Rhinolophus ferrumequinum: one gene and its partners. The protein of the gene in region 2 purifies or fractionates together with the protein of the main gene of each other region. This does not show direct contact. Links are inferred from orthologs where the notes say so. Each region holds a gene or a part of one and is shown on either strand. Other genes may lie near its edges. The genes, in order: GNAI2, MTNR1A and GNAI3.

What was found.
Region 1: the proteins of MTNR1A (region 2) and GNAI2 purify together in Homo sapiens (tandem affinity purification; 3 studies listed by BioGRID and IntAct, with this or other methods). This does not show direct contact. The link is inferred for Rhinolophus ferrumequinum from reciprocal best matches to the Homo sapiens genes MTNR1A and GNAI2.
Region 3: the proteins of MTNR1A (region 2) and GNAI3 purify together in Homo sapiens (tandem affinity purification; 3 studies listed by BioGRID and IntAct, with this or other methods). This does not show direct contact. The link is inferred for Rhinolophus ferrumequinum from reciprocal best matches to the Homo sapiens genes MTNR1A and GNAI3.

What each region holds. Positions count from the first base shown.
Region 1 is NC_046300.1:6,338,084-6,346,046, reverse strand, and holds the start of GNAI2 (guanine nucleotide-binding protein G(i) subunit alpha-2), read left to right. Parts: upstream 1-2,632; 5' UTR 2,633-2,789; coding exon 2,790-2,907; intron 2,908-7,963. UniProt on the Homo sapiens protein: Guanine nucleotide-binding proteins (G proteins) are involved as modulators or transducers in various transmembrane signaling systems.
Region 2 is NC_046287.1:75,768,212-75,776,174, reverse strand, and holds the start of MTNR1A (melatonin receptor type 1A), read right to left. Parts: upstream 4,726-7,963; coding exon 4,494-4,725; intron 1-4,493.
Region 3 is NC_046305.1:41,702,478-41,710,440, forward strand, and holds the start of GNAI3 (guanine nucleotide-binding protein G(i) subunit alpha-3), read left to right. Parts: upstream 1-2,280; 5' UTR 2,281-2,418; coding exon 2,419-2,536; intron 2,537-7,963. UniProt on the Homo sapiens protein: Heterotrimeric guanine nucleotide-binding proteins (G proteins) function as transducers downstream of G protein-coupled receptors (GPCRs) in numerous signaling cascades.

The DNA of each region.
Region 1 (7,963 bases), on a different chromosome or scaffold from region 2:
AAGGATTATGCTGCAAGGGGTCTGGAACCAGAGACTCAGGTGGGAAAGACTCACCACCAGGACACTGGGAGTCAGAGAGGCCCAGCTCACAGCCAGAGAAGGAAAGATGGGGAAGTGGGGTGAGTGGGAAGGTGATCAGCGGGGAGGAGAAAGACAGTGGGGTGAACAGGGCAAGTCAGAATCCTGGAGTGCTGGTGTGATGCAAGTGGAGGGAGATGAGAATCTTGGGTTGGGACAGCCCATATAGGGCCTTGCAGAAATTATTATTATAACAACTCACTCCTATTGAAGGCTTTCCATGTGCCACTCATATTCTGAACATTTCACCTACATTTCCTTTTTCTGACCTCAGCCAGTGAGGTGGGTAGATAGTAATGTTAGGCCCATTTTACTGATAAGAAAACTGAGGCACAGGGAGGTACTTGTCCAAAATAATACACAGCTGGCAAGTTTGCCGACTGCTCCCCAGAGTCCTTGTAGTCAATCTCCACTCTACCACCTCTATCTCCTGCACAGTCCAAACAGTGTGTGTGGGTTTTATCCTCAGGGCACGGGGGAGCCACAGAAGGTTTGTGAGCAAGAGAGTGATATGATTTCTTTCAGCAGGATCCCCTTGGCTGCCATGTAGAAGATGGACTACAGGGAAAACAGCAGAGCCAGGGAGGAGTCTGGAGGCCTAGAATAAGGGACTGTGGGAATAGAGAATAGGTACACATTTGAGGGAGAGTTGAGGAGGGGAAGAAGCTGACAGGATGCAAGGGTGGGGAGAGAAAGTCATAGCTCTGGCCTGTGAGAAGTCACAAGGTTGTGAGCCCAGGAGCAGGGCCAGTGGGGCTGTCCAAAGTGTCTGAGGGAGGCTTCAGAGCAATGGTGGACACTGGGTTGGTGACCAGGGGAGAAGCTGGGTTGGAGATGACTGTGTGGGGTTCTGCTGAGCCACTGGAGTGGGAGGTATGTGACTGGAGTAGCAAACAGTGGTCTAGCCAAAGCCCTAGGGACCCCCATGGATATGGAGAGGGAGCAGCCGGGAGGGATGGAAGTAGGGGTTGCTGGACTTTCTAGGAAGAACACATAACTGGAAGGGGGTGGCTAACTGGTGGGAAGGGTGCAAGGAATACACGAGACCTGGCCTGGGGCTGGGGAAAGCCATATTTCCCAGTGGCCCCATCCTGCCCTCCCTCCATTAATTGGGGTCTCTGTCTACCCACCGCTGTTGAGCCTGGCCTCTAGGGAGCTGACAGGTTCTCCCTGTTGCCGGGCAACTGCAAGAGCTGTTGGCTGTTGCTAGGAGCAGGCTGGGGAGGCCTGAGAAGGGAGGATCAGCTCTCAAGCGCAGGGCTGAGCTGGTGGGGGAAGAGGCAAGTCTGGTCACAGACAGGCTGTGTTCTTGGCTGTGTGCACCCATTTTTATAGTCTTCTGTGGTTAGAGGCATGTATAGAGCATATCTCTGAGTGTCTGTGTCACTGGGTGGGCATTATGTGTTTTCACCATGTTGCATGCTTGTGGCAGTGCCTGTCTGAGCTTTGGCTCCAGGAAGGAGGGAGCCCAGGGGGAACCGTTGGAGGACTTACAGGCCAATGGCTCCTCAACAAGGGAGCCATTCAGATAGGGATACAGACACTCCAGGGGGAGCAGACAGCCTGAGGACTGGGAGCTGAAACAAGATGTGTGCCAGGGTAGGAAGGAGGGAGTCTGCTGAACAGGGGCTGTGGGTGGCCAAGCGTTGGTGACCGAGCATTGGTGGCCAGTTCCCCTCCTGGCTTTGTTGACCTTTTCTGTCTTTGGGTTGGGGCCATCTCGGCTATTGCACTAGATACACTGCTGCCTCCACCCCACCTTTGCCCCGTCATAGGGTTGTAGCCACTGTCTAGTGGAGTCAGGCCATAAGATCATGGCCACTTATATTTTCAGAGGTCAGTTGGCATCTCTCTCTCTGTCTCTCTCCTCCTCACTTGGGTCCTGGTTGCGGAGACCCAGGCTGGAGTCCAGGATGCCTACCTGCTGGAGAATGCCTCCTAGAAGAACTGAGGATAGAGTAAGTCCTGGATGACTAGAAAAAGCAAAGATGTAGAAGTGGCAATAGACTTTTTGTAAAAATTGCAACCCAGAAAGAGAAGGGGAGCAAACCCTCCTTAGGACGGAGAAAGCCGCAGTCCAGAGAGACTCTGGGCTCTGTAGATCCCAAAACAAGTTTATTGGGTTTATTAACTTTAACAAGTGCGAGGACACGCCTCCTCCACCCGGTTCGCGCAACTCGATGAAGCTCGGAGGGCTGCTTCCTGCTCCGCCCGCAAGGTGCACCCGATCTCCACCCTCAGGCTACGAGATCCTCCCGCCCCGCGGTTGGGCTGCGCCCCAGGAGCTCCGCACCCAATCGGATGCCGGCCCCGCCTGCAGCCCGCCCCGAGTCCTATCCCTCTGGGCTTGGCGATACCTCTACGGCTCTCCCTCGGCGTGGCTCCGCCTCCAGCCCGCGCCCGAGCCTGGGCTGCGCCTAACTCCTTAGTTCCGCCCTCGAACCAATCGCTGGCCCGAGATCTCCTGTGGCCCCGCCTCCAGACCCGCCCCTGCCCAGTGCCGGGCCTGGCTCGTTCCGGCCCCACCCCCGGCCCGCCCCGCCGTCGGTGCGCGGAGCCCTGGAAGGCACCGCCCGCAGACGCTCGCAATTGCCGACCGGAGAGCTACCCGAGGAGAGCCGGCGGCGGGAGCGGAGTGGGTTGCGCGCGGGGCCAAGCCGGGCCGGGGGCCGTGTCGGGGCCGAGCGGCGGCCGGGCCGGCGGACGGCAGGATGGGCTGCACCGTGAGCGCCGAGGACAAGGCGGCGGCCGAGCGCTCCAAGATGATCGACAAGAATCTGAGGGAAGACGGAGAGAAGGCGGCGCGGGAGGTCAAGTTGCTGCTGTTGGGTGAGGCCGCGCCCTGCGCTGGGACCCCCGACTCCCCGCCCAAAACCCCCAACAAGGACTTTGACCTCCAGGCTAGGGCTTTGAACTCCCAGACTCGGCCTGGACCCCCACATCTGAATTTGAACCCCCAGACCTGGCCTGGCCAGGACAACCAAATAATGATTCAAAAGTCTGGGTTGGTCCAGACCTCTGATCTATAGCCCAGAGTCGAGGTTAGACCTTCAACTCATTCCAGTCCCCAAAGCCGGCCCCCAGTGCCTCAACATAAGCTGCTCAGAACCCGGCTTGAAAATCCACCTTTACTGACCAACCTCACAGACCCTCAGAGCCGCTGCCTGTCCTCATCCTTCCCTAGACTTTACCCAAACCCCCAGAACCCTACTCGGCCCCCAGACTGCTCACCGTATTCCGTTCGGTGGAAGTATCCTCAAGGCCCCTGCCTGGCCCCCTTTCCCTCCTTCCCGCTCTGTTCCCCATCTCTACACGGCACCCTGTATCCTCCACCTGTGCACCCTGATCCCAAGGGGCCTCTCAAGTGGGAAACCATAACTGCTCCTGAGCCCTCTCTCCAGCTGGAACCCCCAAACCCTTAAAGACCTCTGCTGCCTGCATCTGGCCCACCAGGTCTCTGCCCGCATCACTCCTCAGACCCGCTGTTTCCCCTCCGTGAAGTCCTCTTCCACACTTCGGCCTTTCCCAGAGTCCCCCACCCCTCCTGCACTGGATGGGCCAGGCTGGGAGGAGGTGGCCCAGACCCCCAAGGGGTCCGACTAAGGCTTCACTGGTCCCACTTGGGGAGCCCGGGCCTCTGCATCCCAGGGCTGTCCTTTTCCCAGTTTCTAAGCCGGGTCTGGGCCGGTGAGGGGGAGGTCTGGGGGGTAGGAGGGAGTGTGGAGGAGTTGGGGTTGTGGCGCCTCCAGGGCCAGGGAAGATGGTGGCTGCTTGAGAGGTGGGGGAAGTGGAAGTGGTAAGACAGCGAGCCGACATATTGCTGCCCTGGCGGGCGGGCGGGCCGAGGAGATCTGCTGACGGGTGCCAGGCTTCCTGCACGCCTCTGGGCCTAACGGCCTGGGATGTGGCCTCCGGGAGGGGGTGGCCTGTTGGATCTTGAGGCCGTGTGAGGAGCGAGTGGTGGACCAGCTGGATGGGGGGTAGGGGGTAGGCGGGGGGCACCTGAGGTGGACTTTTACAAAGCCTGTGGGCCCTGTAGTTGTCCCCATCCAGCCTCCCACTGGGAGCAGGTGTGGTGCCCAGTGGCAGCCTGATTTGGGGGAGGTTTCGGGCTTGGAGGGAGGGAAGCCCCTGGCAGCAGCATTGGAGGCTGGACAGTGTATGGGGGGGTGTGGCCCCTCAGCCTCAGAGCTGCTGTGGGGTCCCAAGCTGTGAAAAGTGGGGCTTTTCATGCTGGGCGTATGGCCGAGGGGCCTATGGCCGAGGGACAGTGTGTCTTTCGTCATGCGTCCATCTGTTGACTGTCCCTGGGGGCCTGGCCTCGGGGGCACAGCCCCGAGGTTTCAAAATGGCATCCGCTCCAACGCTGCGGGAGGAAGAGAAGGGGCGGGAAGGGGCGGCGGCCCAGCCTCCTGGGCTGTTTTGCGTTGGGCGCTTGCCTCTTCCTGTCTCTGTGCTGCGAGTACAGCGGCAGTGAGTGGGTGTCGCCGATGGAATGCCCGTGGCTGCTGCCTGCTGGGCCTGGGAAAGGTGCTTCTGGTCCTGCTGCCTCCCAGTGCCCGACCAGGGGCCTCTAGCCAGCCCCTTGGCAGGCCCGTCAGAGTTATTGTGGCAGCTGAGATGTGGGACTGGGCCATGGGGCGGGGGGACACAGGGCTTCTGGGCTGTTCTGTGTCTGGACCGCATCCCACCAGTCTTGCTCCTAGGAGCCTGGCTCAGGTTTTGGGCCTGGCAACCCCTCCCACACTGGGCTGTCACAACCAGGGGTTCAGGGTACGGCTCAGCATTTTCTAGGCTGGGGAGTCCATTTCAGCATCCTGCCCCTCTGGCTTTGCTTCCCTCCCCATCCCCTACCCCCATGAAATGGGCTTCCTGGGTTTGGGCCAGAGGAGTGCCTGGGTCCAGGCTGGGGAGAAGAGGGGCTCGTGGAGGAGTGTGGGGGTGGGCGCTAAGACCCTGCAGACAGTGCACTGCTAGGGTCTGGGAGACTCAGCTCTGCCTGACATTGAGGACCCAGTCTGCCATGGCTGCGTGGGGAAGGGTCCTGGCTGGCCGTCCCTTTCTTATCCAGGTAGAGGAGGTGATGGGAGCCCAGCTGGGGCAGCTTCGGTGCTGGGCACCTGTCCCACATAGCGGGAAGGACTCTATCCAGGCAACGGGACTCAGGTTGGGCAATTGCCAGCCTTCCTTCCCAGACAGAACCACGCCTGCTGCCCCACCCACATACTGGCTCCTTCCTGTCCTGGATAGTCCTGGGTAGCCCTGCCAGCAAATGGGCACAGCACTGTCACCTGTGCAGAGGCAGGTGGGGTCCACACTGGTGAGAGGGTTTTTCCTGGCAGCCTTGCTGTGGGGAGCAGAGTTGCCAATACCAGCCCTACCCGAGGGATAACCCCCAGCCCCACCTGCTATCCACAGGTGGAATTTGGGGCCTTGGGCTGAGCACTTAGGAGAAAGGAAGCCAGAGTGTGTGTTTGGGGGTGTCTGTGACTTGGGATGGGCTTGAGAAAGGAGAGACAGTGCCCATCGTTGTCTCCATGGAGGCTTCAGGTTGTAAATACAGCGGTTCTCTCTTGCCCCTGGCACTTGGCATCTGTTTCCTTCCCCTGATGTGCGCGGTATACTTTCCCCATGTCCTTCTCACTCACTCCTACTTGGTTGTTCTGCAGGACTCAGGGATCTCACCCCGATCCTTCCGTGACAACCTCCTTCACCACGGCCGGGAAGCACTTTCTCTGGCTCCTGGCACTTCTGTCGTCAGAGCATGGTCTTTGCCATGGGTCACAGCTGCCCTCCTTTGAGACTACAGGGGCAGGGCTGTGTCCTGTTCATTTCTGAGCCTTCCATGCCAAGCACGGAGCCTGGCACCTATTGGATATTTCTTGTCTGTTTGTTGAATGAAGGGAAGTGCTACTGGTCTGAATTTGGCCTTGGGGGTGGGTAGATGGAGGAGTAAGATGGTGGTCACTGAGCCACAGCCTGGCGTATCATGGGCAGGTGGCAAGGGCTCAGTATAGAACCAGTGACTGGTGATGGTGGTCGTGATGGGGGACAGTGAGAGAAAAAACCTTGGGTTTTTTTTTTCCTGGTCTCGCCACAGGCTATGCTGGCACCTCAGAGACAGCCCTTACTCCACTGCAGGCGGAACTTTTGCTGACCAGGCTGCAGCCTGTCACAGGGCACAACACACAGTAGGGCCTCCCACTGTTGCTAGGGGAGAGTGGCTTTGCAGTATTCCTTTCAGCTCAGGCTGTTCGGGGACTGTTGCAGGCCTGTCTGGCAGTGCTACTGGAGTTCCTGGCCTGGCCAGTGCAGACTAAATATGAGGGATCGATTAGGTTTACCAGAAGAAAAGGAAGGGTGTTTTGTGGCCTTTGTCCTGTCTATGTCTCTAGCAAAGGGCTTGGCACACTGGGTGCCTAATAAGGGTGTATGGGAAGAACAAAGCTATTGAGCATATCTATGAACTGGGATAAGTAATTCTGGGGCCGCTGCTTGGGGCTTAGTGTAGCTGGAGATAGTGGGAAATGCTAACGTGGGATCCTGGCTGGCTGGGTAATGGGGAAGGGTGCTTCCTGGAGAAGGGGTCCTCTGGGTGGCCTTGAAAAATGACAAACATTTATTACGGCCAGGCATTGGGAGCAGAGGGACCAATTCAGCAAGGGCGCTGGGGGTGGAAGGCCTGGTGTAGGTTCCCGAGCCCTTCCTTGGGTAGGTGTTTCCTAGCCTAGAGAAGGAGGTCTCACCCTCTCTACACCAGCTCTTGGGGTCCCCAGATCTGGGTTCAAATCCCAGCTCCACCTAGGCCACTGGCTGAGAAACCCAGGGACAGGTGAAATCCTGGGAAGCGTCGTGCTCTCCATCCATAACCTGAGGCCTGGGGTGCTTGACTGCAGCCACAGCTATTGTGGGGACAGTGGGTCACAGCTTAGAGGTGTGAAAATGGTGAGGGATCCTCTGCTGACTGCTACCAAGCTGAGAGTTTGGTAGGGAGGGATCTCCCCAGTCTAGAGGCGGGCTGGCCCCAGTGGGGAGGCCCTGGGGAACCTCCTTCCTTGCCCTCAGGCACTGCTCTCTGCTAGTGGAGAGGCTGAGGTCTGTGGACAGTTGGTGCTAGCTGGAGTGACAAACTGCCCTGGGGACCAGAAGCCCACCCTCGGGGGAGGGGGCGCTGAGCCACCTTCCTGGGGGTCTAGGTAGCTGGGCCAGCCTCCAGCTCCCTTACCCCTCCTTTTTCTCCAGCTTTTGCCATCCCGTCTGGAGCTCATTAGCATTTGAATGGGAGGCGGGGCGGCTTGGGCCTCCCAGTCTCCTTTTCCCACCCCCACCCTACCCCCTCTGGGTGAGGCTTTGTCTTCCAGCGTGGGCAGTGCAGGAGCTCCCACGCTGGGGATTGAGAAGGGGTCTGAGTCATTTCTGACCCCCTCTACCTGCGTCCTGTCCAATCCTGCTGGGCTAAGCCCCCGCGCCTGACCCCAGTGTTGGTGCAGGCAACCTGAGAGGGTGCACCTCTAGGGTAGGCATGAGACCAGTCCTTCAAGGGATGCCCCTGAGCTGGGAGACTGGATGAGTCGGGGTGGCTTTGCAAAGGAAGTGATGGGGGTCTCAGGAGGGTGGGGGTGGAGAACCCCAGGCAGAGGGCCATGCCGTGGTCATGACAGAGAGAATGAGGCGTTTGTGCCTGGAGGTGAAGCCAGGCAGCTGGGGAGCACAGCTTCTGTGCCAGGCCAGAGCAGCCTCTAGCCACCCACTGTGCTTGAGTTGGAGCCTAGGCTGCCAGATAGGGGCTGGCATGGTCAGGGGCCTGGGCAGCCTGTTGGGGTTGGCCCTGGGCTGGCCTGAGCCACAGGGTGTGACCAGGCCCTTTGATGGTGGCACTATTGGT
Region 2 (7,963 bases):
GCTTCCATTGGTCCCTTCCACACTACTTTTTCCTATTCTCCCAAGATCCCAAGACGTTCAGAACTCAGAACAAGGCCGGTTGCTTTCAGGGTCTCATGAGTCACAGGTGGCCCAAAAGTTCTGAGTATTGTTTCAGCCATATTGGTTTGGATGATTTTGTGAGATAGCTTAAGAGCCAAAATATCATGTAAAGTCTTCTTTTAAGAAATCTGTAAGCAGAGAGAGATCCACATGGCAGAGTAGATAAACACTGTGCCTGCTTCCTTCCATGAACACATTGAACTTAAAAGTAAATTACAGAACAATCAACCTAGAGGACCATCTGAAGTCTAGCTGAACATAAGTTTTATAATTAAGAATACAGAGGAGCCATTCAAGACTGGTAAAAGGGGTGTAGACGAGAAACTGGCTGTCCCCAAACCTCTGTGTGGTGGTTGAGAACGAGGAGGGATATCTCAGCCATGGAGATTCCCCCTGGAGACGCAAGACCCCAGCTCCACACCGGTCTCCCCAGTCCAGAGTACTGGTGCCTAGAAGAGGAGTCCCCACATCTGACTGAAAACAGTGGGGATTCTGACCATCTGGTTGGGACGGAAGGCTGCGGGAAACCCAGACGTCCTCTTAAATGTCCTGTGCACGGACTCTCACACTCCCAGGCACTCATCCTGAGCTCCAGCAGAGGGACGGTGACTTGGGAGGCATTAGAGGCATGGAAACATGGGATGGGCAGAGGGGGCGATGGACAGGCTGAGGTGTGTGGCTTCCGGGCAGGGCTGTAGGACAGTCACTATTTTCCCTGGGTGATGTCTTCCTCCCATGCAGCCTGCAGGCAGGTGCCATCTTTCCTGTGCTGAGCCCACCCCCACGGGCCAAATCTGAATGTGGCCTGGTGAGCTCCGTTGCTTCATCCTGCTGACTCAGCTAGGAACCCACCTCACCCAACTCACCCAATGCCAGAGCTACTTTCTCAGGCAGCCAGCTCCACTCACATTATCATTATCTTTAGGTATATAAATGTTGAATAACTATGGGGGTACCCCTGAAACTAACATAACATTGTATGTTAGCTATATTTTTTATAAAAATCTTTGTAAAAAAAGAAATCTGTAAGTGAACTTCTAGAATATGACATGCTTATAAGTTCAGGGTTCTCTTTTTTTCTGATGCACAACAGACACAATCAGGAAACTGAGTTACAAGTATGATCTCTACTAAGAGATTGAATATAATTATGGTGATTAAAGAATACTGGAAGCCAACAAATAAGAAACAGGCATGGGGGCGAAGAAAAGAGAAGGCAAGAGAAGAGAAGGGAAAAGAAAGAAGGGGAAAGAGAAATACAATCAGAGTACAGCAAACAGAATTGTGAAGGGCTTAATCAAGATAGCTATGAACATGTTCAATGGGACCTACACTGGAGTATTGATTAACTGATGGTGAGTGTGGCCAAAGGTAATGGAGAAGGCAGTGAGCTTCAGCCTACGTTACCTGAGCAATGGATACAAGCAAAGAGTCAAGTTCAGCACAGGCAACAATCTGCTGGTGAACGGTAAAAGAGAAAAAGTTCAGGTTAGCTACAAAAATGTAGTATTTTATAGACTGCCATCTCAAAAAATTGTTTAACAAATAAACAAAATATAAAGTAATGTGGTAGGAGCACTTTTCATAAGTTCTTTGTCATATAACAGAAATAGAATTGTTCCAAGCATGTGAATATTTTTTTTTTTTAATGAAAGGTTCTGCAGGATTCGAACTTCCCAACTGCTGCAATTGTTGATAGCAATGAAGTAGAGTGAGCTCTAGGGCCAAGCTCTGTGGCTTGAACCCTGCTCCACTACTTCTGGTCGGTATGGCCAATCTGTGTCCTCGTTCCTCCCTTGTGAAGAGGGTAACAACGGCACCCCACCACATGGCTGCCCTGAGGATTCAGTTAACATGGTTCTCCAAACTGTGTCTAGTCCATAGAAAGCTGCTTTTATTGCTAGGAGAGAATGAGACTCTTCTTTTTTCTCTTCTTTTTCTCTTCTTTTATTTTTCTTTGAGGGTACAAAGAGTGGGCACTGGACAGGTCAAAACAAAAGCCCTATTATTGAACCCTAATCCAAGGAATCAAAACAATCAGTAATGCAATGAGATTGCAAAGCAGATTAATACATAATCAGAGCCAGCATTTCCAGAACCCAGTTATACAGGGGGTAGTGGAGACTGGTAGGAAATCAGCGATGGTGAGAAAGCAGGCTTCTCCCACAGCTTTGCTCCTGGTATGAGATGAATAATTCTCATACCATGCTCATAGCACTGGGTCTTCTCATACTCTTTCTTTCTCTGTCTCTTTCTCTCTTCCTCTCTCTCTTTAATTCAACTAATTTAAATTGAAAAAACAACAACAACAAAAAACAACCCTCAAAACACTTCACCTATTTCTCCCTCTTCCCTCCACCCTTGCATCTGGTAACCACCTTGCATCTGGTTCTTTGTATCTTTTGGTATTTATTTATAGATTCCATATATAGAAGAGATCACATGGTATTCGTCTTTCTTTGTCAGACTTATTTCACTTAGCATAATACCTTAGAGGTCCATCCATGTGTCACAAATGAAAGATTTGATTCTTTTTTATGGCTGGATAACATTCCATTGTAAATATACCACAATTTCACTATCCACTCATCCATCAATGAATACAGCTTGTTTTCATATCTTGGCTCTGTAAAGAATGCTGTAGTGAACACGGGGGTGAAGCTATGTTTTGAAGTTAGTGTTTTCATTTCCTTTGGAAAAATACCCAGAAGTGGAATTGCTGGGTCCTATGGTAGTTCTATTTTTAATTTTCTAAGGAACCTCCGTACTGTTTTCCATAAGGACTGCCCCAATTTACATTCCCACCAATAGGGCACAAGGGTACCCTTTTCTCCACATCCTCACCAACACTTGTTACTTCTTCTTTTTTAATAATAGCCATTCTTAACAGGTGTGAGGTGATAGCTCATCGTGGTTTTGATTTGCATTTTCCTGATGATTAGTGATGATGAGCACCTTTTATGTACCTGTGGGTCGTTACGTCTGCTTTGGCAAAATGTCTATTCAGATCATCTGCCCATTTTTTAATTGGATATTTTTTTTTTTTGCTATTGAGTTGTATGAGTTCTTTATACATTTTTAGATGTGAGCCTCTTATCCGATAATTTGCAAATATTTTCTCCCATTCAATAAGCAGCCTTTTCATTTTGTTGATGGTTTCCTTTGTTGTGCAGAAGCTTTTCAGTTTCATGTAGTCTCAGTTGTTTATTTTTGTTTTTGTTGTTTTTGCTTTTGGTGTCAGACTGAAAAATACCATCACTAAGACCTATGCCAAGGAGGCTCCTACCTATGCTTTCCTCTGGGAGCCGCTTCTTGAAGGCAGAATTCCTCTGGTTTAACTCAATCACCTAGGAAGTGAGATTATTCAATGAACTAACTCAAATTCAATTCATGTTATCAGGTGCTTATTAATTAATTCTTAAACTACGCGTGGTCTCAAGCAATACGGAAAAAAGGGGGGCCTCCTAGAAATGACAGCATTGATCAGCTACTCGGTTAGAACAAAAATATTGCTTTTGACAACATGTAATTGCATCATTCCTTCCCCTCTCCATATCCATTTCCATAAATTTGCCTACAAATAAAGAGCTAGGTATCTAAGCATTTAGAGATCTGAACATCCCATGTCCTATGGACAAACAGTCCTCAGGCTCCTATCCAGAATAAACCAATTTCAATTCATTGCCTGGAGTAAAAATCAAGTTTATCTCAGCACGAAATTAGCTTTAGTAGTATATTATATGTAAATACACCCTTTATTACAACAATTTCTATTTTTAACATGTAAACTTGTTTAACTTGGAGGAATAATTATCACTTTCCGAAACATGTTTAGAAGCTTATCATTCTTTTAAAATTGTATGCCAAAAACTAAAAACTACTGCTGAGAACAAAACTGAAATAAGTGCAGTATCTTTTTACCAGCTTATTTTTTTCTCATATTTTCACAAAGTTGGGCAAATAAATTATATGTAAAACCAAGCAATTGGTAAGTTGGTTATCTGATTTGAAAGGACTTCTTGAGGAATTTTCTGCAACCTGTATCAAGTGCCTTTCAATTTAAGAAACCTCAGAAACTGAAAACTATAGTGGGTGTTTCCCCTAAAATAAAAAGAACGCGACTCTGCCCAAATTTTCTACCCCTTAGTGACTGAAGAGTTCTTACTGTTTAATGAAAAAACATCTTTGACGGGCAGGTTAAAGGTAAGCAAGCCGATGGACTTCGGTCTCTATTAGGAAAAATTACTCCAAATCCTCAGTTTTTAAGAAAAGAATTGAACTTTTCTTAGGAAAAGCCAACTGACAGCTGGGGGGTGCTGCGTTCTGGAAAGGTGGCCAGAAAGGGGAGAAGCTGCCATCGGGTGAAAGTTGGGGGCTGCCCGTCCAGCCTGCCCGGCCCCGGGAGCCCCTACCTGCGTTCCTCAGCTTCTTGTTCCGATACACGGACAGGATGACCAGGAGGTTGCCCACGACGTCCACCACGATGGTGAAGATGAGGATGAAGGCGAGCGTGGAGGCCAGCCACGAGGGTCGCGGCCGCGCGTCCCCACTCCCGCCGCCCGGCGCCTGCTGAGAGGCGTTGAGCAACGCACTGCTGTTCCCCTTCAAGGTCCCGCCCGGCGCGCCCCACGGCCGTCCGGCCATCGCGCGGCCCGGGAAGGCGACCCCGGCTCCACCGCCTTTGCAAGTTACTGGAGGGCGGCGTGAGCCCGCTCCTCCACTGGTATGGCTCCTCGGGCCTTCCCGCGTCCACTCTCCATCCCAAATGCTCCTTCCTAGCCGCCCTGCGGGGTCCACCGCCTCCCCTCGGCGGGACTCTGCACCTGCAGCCCCAGCCTGGTAACACCTGGCGTCAGCCCTCACTTCGGGCTCCTTGGATTGCAGGGCTCAAGACTGGATCCCTGCACTACGTGTGGACAGCGCCCCCGTGCGGGTTGCCTGGGCCCAACCGCCTGCACCCTAAAGAGCAGTGAGTCCAGAGAAGCCTTCCTAGGGAAGGTCGTGATTCCGTTCATCGTGTTTTCGCTCTGGGACATTTCACCAAGCAGGGCCAGACTGCATGGGCCCCAAGCCTATCTCGGATTGAGGCTAGTTCATTAGCCATCATATGCCCCAGTGTCCTTATCTGTGAACTGCGAGTCAAAGAGTATCTAACTTATCTAACTTACAGATAGTAAGAGTTGGGGGAAAAAAGAAAAAAATCAAGGAACGTTCTCAGTGAGGTATCGCACTGTCCATGAAACAGAAATCATTTTCCCAGCTCCCCCCCGCGCTCCACTCCACACACTGTCATCCGTAATTTTGATCATCTTTCCCAACAATTACTTTTCTTTTGAGGTTTCTCGAAAGCTGTCCTTAAGACTCCAAGTTCTTGTCCTTAACTTCTGTGCAGCCCCGCTGGCTTCCCCGGGTAATCAGAACAAGAATGGAAGAAGTTGCCGGTTTGAAATGACAGAAGATTGCACTGGCCTGCTGATTCAGAGCAAATATAAACTTTTCGTTTTGCTTTCAAATATCATGGACTGAAGTTTCAAATTAGCCACAACCTTGCTTCTATAGCCACACTCAGGCAGTTCTCTCCGAGATTTCTTCCCAGAGCAGTACAGGTCCTAAACACCTGTAGCCATCAAACCTGCCAACCTCTCCCTGCAGACATCCAAGCCTATGTTTGGCACATACTCACCCTATAGCTTTTAAAAATAACTTCACTTGACCTTTGAAAGTGTCCACGAATTCTACAACCTCAATTCTACCAGCCACCAGGCTTTGGGAGTCATTCCATAAGTGTTTGCCATGTGGCAAGGCAAACCTGGACCTTTCCAATAAAGCAGCCAAAGAATGGTACTTATCAAGGAAATACATAAATCCACCTGTGTCTCAGGTGACTCCAGCTTCCACTTTCCCTTTTGTAACTTTCCTATATCCATGCCTTCACGGGAAAGTACTAAATTAAAATAAATTTCCTTTCATTCATTAATGTAGTTGTTCGGTAAATATTTTATGTACTTGGCACCATGCTCAAAACATAGCCCTTAACCTGCAAATAGCAGTGTCATGCAGGGACTCTGGTCCCGCTCCCAGCATAAGAACACAGGATAGGGAGAGGTCAAAAAGGAACACCAACAGAGCCCCGGATTGGGGGTTCATACCACTTTATTCTTGCTGGAGGCTGGATTGGAGATATAGGAAGCAGGAGTCACACAATCTGCAATCCGCAGTCCACTTCTCTGCCACCCAGCCAACCAACTTGCTAGCTGCAATCCACGCTTGTTAGCTGAGCCACGGCAGTTATATCAGTGGCTAATGGCTGACCGGGTACAGCTGATGGCCAACTAGTCACAGCTGATGACCATCTACTACCCGAGCCAGCACCTTTCCACGTGAGGCCGAGAGCCTGGAAACTGCTCTCTGGGACTCTGCCCCACAAGCAGCATGCACTGTGGATGTACAGATGAGATACAGAGAGGAAATAGAGAGTCCATAAGAAAATGAGAGCATTGGACAAGAATTTGTGAATTAATAAATACATTAAATGAATTGAAAAGTAGGGTTTTTAAGTTAATAAATTTTCGTTTTTAGAGCAGTCTTAAGCTCACAGCAAAACTGAAGGAAAGTACAGAGATTTCCCGTATATCCCTGTCCCACATGCACAGTCTCCCCCATTATCTACCTTCCACACCACACTGGCACCTTTATTTATCTACAAACCTACATTGATACATCATTATCATCCAAATCATAGTTTACATTAGGTTCACTACTGGTATTGTACCTTCCATGGGTTTGGACACTTGCATAATGACATGTATTCATCTTTATAGTGTCACACAGAGTATTTTCAATGCGGTAAAAATACTCTGTGCTCTGCTTATTCAACCTTCCTTCCCCTCAGCCTCTGGCAACCACTTATCTTTTTAGTCTTCATAGTTTTGCCTTTTCCAGAATATCATACGGTGGGAATTCTACAGTTTGTAGCCTTCCAAATTGGTTTGTTTTACTTAGTAATGTACTTTTAAGTTTCCTCTATGCCCTTTCATGGCTTGATAGCTCATTTGTTTTTAGCACTGAATAATATTCTATTGTCTGGATGTACCACAGTTTAGTTATCCATTCACCTGAAGGGCATCTTTGTTCCTTCCAAGTTTGGGCAATTATGAATAAAGCTGCTATAAACATCAATGTGCAGGGTTTTGTGAAGACGTAAATTTTCAACTGCTTTGAGTAAATCCCAAGGGGACCAGTTGCTGGATCACATAGTAAGAGCACGTTTAGTTTTGTAAGAAATCACCAAACTGTCTTCCAAAGTGGCTGTACTATTTTGCATTCCCACCAGCAATGAATGAATTCCCATTGCTCCACATCCTTGGCAGCTGAAAGCCAAAGATAGAAAGTGTTAAAAGAAAAACAACAAATTACATACTGGGGAACAATTAATCCAACTAACTGCTGAATTCTCATCAGAAACTATATTAGCTTTCTATTGCTGTCATAGCAAATTATCTTAATTAAATTAATTTAGAGACTTAAAGTAACACTCATTTATTAGTTCACAGTTGTATCATCCGGAAGTCTAGGTAGAGAGCCACTCAGCGGGGCCCTCTGGTAGAACCCTACACGGACAAAATCAAGTGGTCAGTAAGGCTGTGTTCCTTTCTGGAGGTTCTAGGGATGAATCTGCTTCCAAGCTTATTCAAGCTGTTGGCACAATCCAGTTCTTGAATTGTAAATTTGTAAAACTAAGGTTATCCTAAATTTCTAGAGGTTGGCTGCATTCCATAACTCAGGGCCCCTTTCCTTCATCTTCAAAGCCTGCAGTGGTGGGTTAAGTCCCATTCATGCTTCAAATCTCTCTTAACTTCTGCCATCTCCCCTGTCTCGAGTC
Region 3 (7,963 bases), on a different chromosome or scaffold from region 2:
ATTATATTGAGGGAATCCTTTAGATAGTATATACAACGGGGAGAGTCTTTTGTGATTGCAAAACATATTCTCATCTCTCCTCCCTTTTAAGATAGACTCCTAACGGAGGAATCTCATTCCTAGATAGGGGAAAACTCTTCCAAACATCACTGATCTGCTAGTAGGCCCTAAGCATTGCCAGTAGGTGGCAGTGTGTGTCCAGTGGAAACAGGAAAGGTGTCTGTAAGTGGGTAAAGGGGTGTGGGGAGGACATTCAACGTTGTCTGGCAGCCATTTTGTTAATTTATTTTGCCTTTTCCTTTGACTTTGCCCTCCAACCCTTCCTTCCCATACATCAAAGAAGAAAAATTTAAATTCAAGGATAACTCTAATTCAGGCTGAAATTTCCTGGCACTGTGATCTCACTGGCATTTATTACAGAATTTGACATATGCTGGTTCGTTTGCCATTTATTTTGAGTAGATCATGAAGGAAATAAAAGATTCTATTATGCTGAGAACTTTCCCAACAGTTTCTGCCATGACAACCTCCTAAGAGTTTTCTAGCCACTAGGATCACTTGGGTAAAGTTCGATGTGTAATCTTGAGCTGTGCAAGTTGTTCCTGGACACAATTTGACCTCCCTAATCCACGGAAGAATCAGTAACCGTCCTGTCAGTTACTTTTTCCTGCACCCTGGTCGTGTTGGGGTAACTCTCAATCCTAGATGAAAACCTTGTTGTCAGGTTTTCCCAGGTAACACAGTGGCATAGTAGTAAAGGGGTGCATTTGGAGTCAGATAAACACCTACTCACTGTGTGAAGTTGGGAAAGATGTTTAATTTCTGAGCCTATTTCCTCATCTGTAAAAATGGGGATAACATTACCTACCTCACAGGGTTGTTGTGAGGATTAAGAGATATGTGGAAGCACCTAGCCATACTTGGCAAACAGGTACTCAATAAATACTGGTTTTTCTTCCTTTTCCTCTTGCCCTTTCTCCCTGTAAGTACCGATCATGGGAAAGCAGTCCCTTTTATTGTAAGTTATTAGGGAATGGGTAGGAGACTTCAAACTGAAGAACTGGTATTAAGCTACGGGGGATGAGGCTGTTTAAGGTGGCTCTCAAGAAATCCCTCTAATTATTCAATCATTATATAGACCTTTCTGTTGGGACCTTATATTCTAAGGTTCAGATTCTATTAGGGAAGTAGTTTGAATCACAGGGAAAGGTTTTGGGGGGCTACAAGTGTTCCCCTCTCTATAATGTATGGTGTTTGTGGGTCTATTTGGCAGTAAAGATAATTTAGGGTCACCTTCCCGGTAGTACCCAACATTATGAGTGACAAAAAGACCATCAATCTGGGGCTTTCATAGGGAATTTATTCATTTTCACATGATGCTAGAGCCGAGAGGCCAATTTTACTAGAACTTCCCTTTTTGTGTGGTACCACAACAGGAAATTTCAGGAGATTCACAGGATGCACTGGTTTGTTTTGGGGTGCGGGACTGAGAGTAAGTAATGTTGGTGGACGTCCTAAGCCCCTGACGCAGACGGTATGTGAGCGATGAAACAGGCTTATATTGGGAAAAGCATGGAAATTTTATGGAGAAACTACACGCTTACCTTTCGGGTAGCATCTACTATGTGGCCCTTGGCTAACCTAGTGGCTGGGCAACTTTCAAGCCCACCGAAATTCGTACATAACGGCCCAAAGACCAGACAGCAGGCGGCAAGAGGCTAGAGGAGGAGGCAGAAAGTGATCTCTCAAGACCGAGGCATGGTCGGTCTTAGATACCGGATGTGAAGTGCGGCGGGGGCCCAGGCTCTGCAGTTTGCTCTCATCTGGCTTAGGCGAGCCCGGCAGAGAAGGTGTCCTACACTAACTTAGGCAGGGAACCCGAGTTTCCAAATCCAGAGATCAAAGGGGGCTTTCTGGCCAGTGAGAAAGTCCCAGCAGAAATTTCCGTGCGGGCTATGGGCTCTTATTTGGGAATCCCCCCCCATTCATCCAAAACAAATCTGTGTGACTTCGGGAGGGCGCCATGAAGGAAAGAAGCTAGTCCCCAGTTTTTTTACATTTATCCAAATAAGGCAGCCGAACAGGTGAAAGAGGTCTAACGTCGAGCACCGCAAGGCGAGTCCCACATGACCCGACTACTCCCGGAGAACCGCAGGCGGGCCACGCCCTTCTACTCCGGCTCCCCGTACTTCCGCTTCCGGTTGCACCTTTTCTACCCCAGCTAGAGACGCTCAAACAGGAACAGCCGCTGGGCGTTGCCGGAAGTGTCGTACACGCCGGATATCCGGTTTCTCCGGGCGCTTGGCGAGCTGACGGAGAGGGCCGCCGCCCAGCAGAAGAGGCTGTCTCGGCCGTCCGAATCGCAGTGTCCGCGGTGTGTGAGTGAGCCCGGGCCCGGTCCCCTCTCCCGCCGCCGCCATGGGCTGCACGTTGAGCGCCGAAGACAAGGCGGCGGTGGAGCGGAGCAAGATGATCGACCGCAACTTGCGGGAGGACGGGGAGAAAGCGGCCAAAGAAGTGAAGCTGCTGCTACTCGGTGAGGGGCTGGGGGCGGGGCTGGCGGGTGTCGGGAGGGCCTAGGCACTTGGGGGCCCTGAGGGAAAGGACCCCGAAGGGGGTGGAGGGCGTGAAGTACCAGGCGTAGGGTTTTGGGGTTGTAGGAATTAGACTGGAGAGGGTGTGACCGTGCTGGAATTGCGTTTAGCGAAGAGTTTGGGGCAGTAGGACCTTTAGACTGTGAGGTATGTGGGAGAAGCTCATAAAGGAAGAGAAGGATATTAGGGAAGGTTTGAAAGGGGTTGGAATGTGTTGGTGGCAAGGAGGACGGGATGGTGTGGTGGGCTTGTTTAATGGCTTGTGAGGTGAGAGCGTGGGGACACTTTCAGACAGGGTAAGTAGCTGGAACGCTTGAATAGTTGAATAATTATTATAAATAGAAAGAGAGACTAGGACAGAGTGGTCCCAAAAGGACCACCCTGTCATTTATTAGAGAGTGGACATTTTGAACTGTTGGTGAGGTGGAGGAACCCTGGATTATCCATGAACATGAAAGTGTGTGGTGGAGATAAATCCAAAGTTTTCCGGTATAAAGGAAAAGAGCTTTATACCTGAGTACAGAGACTGTATATACTTGAACACCTTTTTCGATCATTTTTATTTTCTTAAGGTTTTCTAAGTGCTTGTTTTTATAAAGGGGAGATGGTGTGAGCTGAGGAAATTTAAGGACTGGCTTATTTGAGGTTTGTGGCAAAGATGCAGTGAACAATAGGTTACACGTTGGTGTTTGTTGAACAGTTGTTAGGGATGCTGTGCAGTGGGAATGGAATTATCTTAGGAAAAATGACAGAATTGGACACACTTACTACACAGGCTGTGAGAGACTTCTGGTGAGATGTTTTATCTTTTTGGTCTCTTCAAACTAAAAATCCTGGCTTCGGGAATTACTGTTTATTTTACTTGACATACGTTTTAAGTGGCGTTTATGTGCAGTCAGATGCATTTTACTCTGCACGATTAGTTTTCACATTTTTGAGACACTGGCTTCTAGGGTTCAGTAAACCATATAGAATGCCCTGGCATCAGCTTACCAGTAAATCAAGTCACATTTCTTCACTATAAGTGTTTTCTAGAGATCTGTTGGACAATAAGTGGGAGTAATGGTTTTTGTAAGCAGTAGAACTTTACTTTTTAAAACAATGGATTTTGAGAAAAAGAAGTCACTGTAGGAGAAGTGCCAAATTTCCGTGATGTAAAGCCGGAGAGGACAGGATGCAGCACCATAACCTAATTTTGTACTCCAGTGTGTGCTGGGTGCCCATGCTAGTCTCTTCATGTTAACATGTTTGGTGGTTTGTAGATTGCAGAAGCCTTGGTAACAGCTTTTTGGATGTAGGGGGAAAGTTAGGCATTGGAGCTTGAGCTTTCAGTTGGAATACCTGATCTTTCGGAACACGTCAATTCAAATTGTATTTCTAGATTGCCAGTCTCTGTGTAATAGGTATTATTTGTGAATGAGCATGGTCTTTGGCACATAGTAGGTGCTCCTAAAATACTATGTTTCCCCCAAAGTAAGACCTAGCCGGACAATCATCTCTAATGCGTCTTTTGGAGCAAAAATTAATATAAGACCGGGTCTTAAATTATAATATATGACGGTGTCTTATATTATAATTTTAAGACCCGGTCTTATAGTAAAATAAGACCAGCTATTATATTATATTATATTACATTACATTATATTGTACCCCGTCTTAAGACTGGGTCTTATGTTAATTTTTGCTTCAAAAGATGCATTAGAGCTGATTGTCTTGCTAGGTCTTATTTTTGGGGAAACGGTGTTTATTGTTAACCAGCAGGAACCAGCTAATGTTCCATTGCTCCTGGGGCCTTTCATATGTTTGATAGAAACCACAGTGCTCAAGGCATTAGCATTGTCTGTATTGATCGGTTAGTTAATGAAATTTAAGGTGTGTCTCATCTTCGTGGGTGTTTTGATTTACATTGACCACTGGAGAGCCCCTCAGGACCTAGCCTATTGTAATACAGTTGTTAACAGTGAGGCTTTCTTCCAGATGGCAGGATTTGGCAGGCAGCACTTGGACCAGTAGAACTTGTCCAAATGTCTAGAAAAATCGTTATTCAGGACTTTATAAATAGTACACTTAATTAAAAACGAAATTAAACACATGGTGACTTAGGGAACTTCAAAAGCAGTAAAAATCAAACTACTGTGTTTGCTTTTAAATTTTATGTTTCATTGTTTTAAGTAAGATTTTTTTTATATTCTTGAGCAAGTTAAGTCGACAAATTCAAATAGATTGCACAGACAGATGCTCTTGCTTGAACCATATCATAACGCATGTGTGAAATTAAAGTTGTCTTCTTTGCTATTTTTATAAGCAAAATATAGCCATCACAGTATACAAAGAATTTTCTTACTGTAGAATACCTCTTCTGATGTACATGTAAGTCATTTTTACTTCATCACTCTGAAGCTATCGAACTAGTCTGAGTTTAGATCTACTTGCCCTTGTCTGTCCTGGCACATAATAGGTGTTCATCAAATATTACTGTATTTAAAAAAACAAACCTGGGGGATGTGTATACCTTAGTGCTTCAGAAAATCCATGACCTTTCTAAAATAGCAAACTTTATGTTATATACATTTTTCTGGTGGGCGGGGGCCATAGTGTTTCATCAGGTTCTTCCACAATATTACCTAACTTCCATTTTTTGAAGTCCCTCATCTTGGACCAGGAAAATCAGTAGCTGTGCAAAAAAGGAATGTTCAAAATGCAAAAGAAAAACATCTAGACACTGTGAAGAGTCTCTTATTTCCTCTTTGAGAGGACAGTTTTTTACTTGGAATTTTTGAGAAATGTGTTTTCTGTATGTCAGATGGCTCCTTTTTCTCCCCTTTCTCCAGTGAGTTAAGGAACTGCTCGCTGCCACTTACCTCAGGGCAATCTCTCTAGCAAACTTGCTTCCCTTCTTCGCTTCTTTCCCCTAAATCTGCTTGCAGTGAAATTTTCTGTTCCAGCATCATCATCTCAAAATTACTTAGACTGAAAATGGGATTTGATTGTTTGTTTGTTTGTTTTTTAACTCTTGCTCTCATTTTTTAACCAGTCAATTGCCAAATTTTGTGACTCAGTTGTTACCAGATTTTTGGAATTCATGGACCAATAAAAGTAATTTTTTTATTGTTGAGCGACTTATCATTCCAACATTTTCTTTTTCTTATAAATACATTTTAAAAATATTCCAGACCATCATCTATCTATTATGATTACTATTTAGTTCCCTTCATAAAACCTTTTTGATGTTCTTAATTGAATCTGATCTGTCCTTCTCTTTGAAACCTTACAGTACTTTTATGCCTCTTACAGTCTGTCTGCCTGATATTATGGTTATTTGTATACTTGGCTGCTCCTAATTATGTGGTCCTTGAGGGCTGACAACTACGTATTTCTTGTCTATCTGCTGCAGAACCTAATATAATGCTAAAATGTTTTGCCTGTGATAGAAACTCACTCATACCTGTTCCAGTCAAGGAGGGGTTTGTTGAAGGGGCACAGTAGGCAACTTCTTAGGCATCAGACATCCAAGGATAGGTAAATGAACTCCAGCTAGGTTGTGTGCAGGTGGATTGTGATTCGTGCCCCCTGCGCCCATTTCTCCTGCAGCAGTAAGGTCACTTGCTCCGGTCACTTGCTCCGCTTTATTGGTTAAGTCATCTCTTCAGATCAGCTTTCTCTGCTCACTCCCAGTTTTCAGCTCCGGCTTTCTCTGACTCCTCTGGCTTACACATGTCTGACCTGGTAGTTAAGTGCTTCACGTCTTCTGACTCAGATCCCCATTCCAGATTCCCAGGAAAGAATATCAGACTGGCCCAGCCTTGTCAGGTGCCCATCACAATCTTGTCAGCTTCGTGGGACTAGGGCAAGGTTGAGGGGGTGTTGTGAGTTCCACAAGGCTCGCCCTTTCAAGGGCTGGGTGGGTCAGATTCTCTGTGAACACGCATGGCTAGAGAGTTAACGATTAATAGATGACAGTGCCTGCCATCTTGTAGGCACTCATTCCATTGAAGTTGGACTTAATGGAATGAGATGGAATTATTGAAGAACTAAACACATCACTGCTTTAGTTTTTCATTAATTCACAAGAATATGCCTGCTAATTCTCAACATTAAGTTGCCATTTTGTATGGGTGAGAGATGTAGTTAAATTCAACTTGAGGTAGGGTGCAGGGTCTTGAACTCCCATGATCAACACATCCAACTCAGAATAGTTAGTCACCTGCATTTAATTACCTTCGATTGTAGTTCAGGCATTGATTTTTTTAAATGCATATAATCAATACAGGGTCTATGCTTCATCATCCCTGCTTTTTCCTGGCTGTCTTCCCTCCCCCGCCCATTTTTATGAGTACCAGAAAATTGTCCAAAGCTAAGGGAAGGGATAAAATGGACGGTTTTGCTCCTTGTGAATAACCTTCCTTAGAGAGGTTTTTATTAGAGAGTAGGTAAAAACATTTGGCAAAGCAGATTGCTCATAGATTTTAGCTATCCATGCTGTGTTCTCCTTATGTTTAGTTTGGTTTTGTTGTATTGGGGGGTGGGGCTTAGGAGAAGTGGAGAGTAAAAAATGCTCTAAGTACTCAGGAGCTAGTTAGTATATTAGCAGTAAAGACCAAAAAACATGTGGGTCTCATAAGAAATGTCTAGACAGTGGACACTAAATTTGTTCAGATTTCTGAAATGTGTTTTAAAATTTGTTTTCTGGTCAACAGAATACGGTAGACTATTATAGTGTATCTCTTTGAACTGGTAACTCAGTTCAGGAATAGGAGATACCAGGCAATGTAGGGCGAAGGGCAAAAAGACTGAGAATTGGGAGATCAGCCCTGATCTCTGAGCTTCAGTTTCCTTCTTCTGCACAAGAGGCCTGATTTCAGGGGTCCCTCGTCTTTGGAGTTAATATTATCAACCAGATGGAATACTTTAGCAAGTCGTTAAAGAGGCTTATTTTTGTGTTATTTCTCTTATTCTTCAGTTTGAACTTAACATAATAAAGCTATTAGGGAAGGTAGTTAGAAACCTGAAAGACTTAGGTTCGTAAAGTGCCCATAATGTAAATGTTCAAGAGAATGTAAAGAAAAGAAAAAGAAAGAAAAAGACATTGTTCTAGTATTTGATTTCCCCTCCATTTTTAACTGGCTTCGTTTTGGTATAATTCTTTTTCAGTATTTAGCAAGTTAGTTATCTTTACGTCTTTATCTATCCAGGCTATCCTGTTACCTGCCTACAATCATATGGATCATTTCTGTAATTTAAGCTGCTTGAACTGAATAACCTTGTGTTAAGATCTGTTTAATTGTACTGGTTTTGATACAGTGTTCTATGTAAATGAAATATCCAATTTTCCATGTTTTGCTATTAAGTTGTAACAGAAATGAATATAT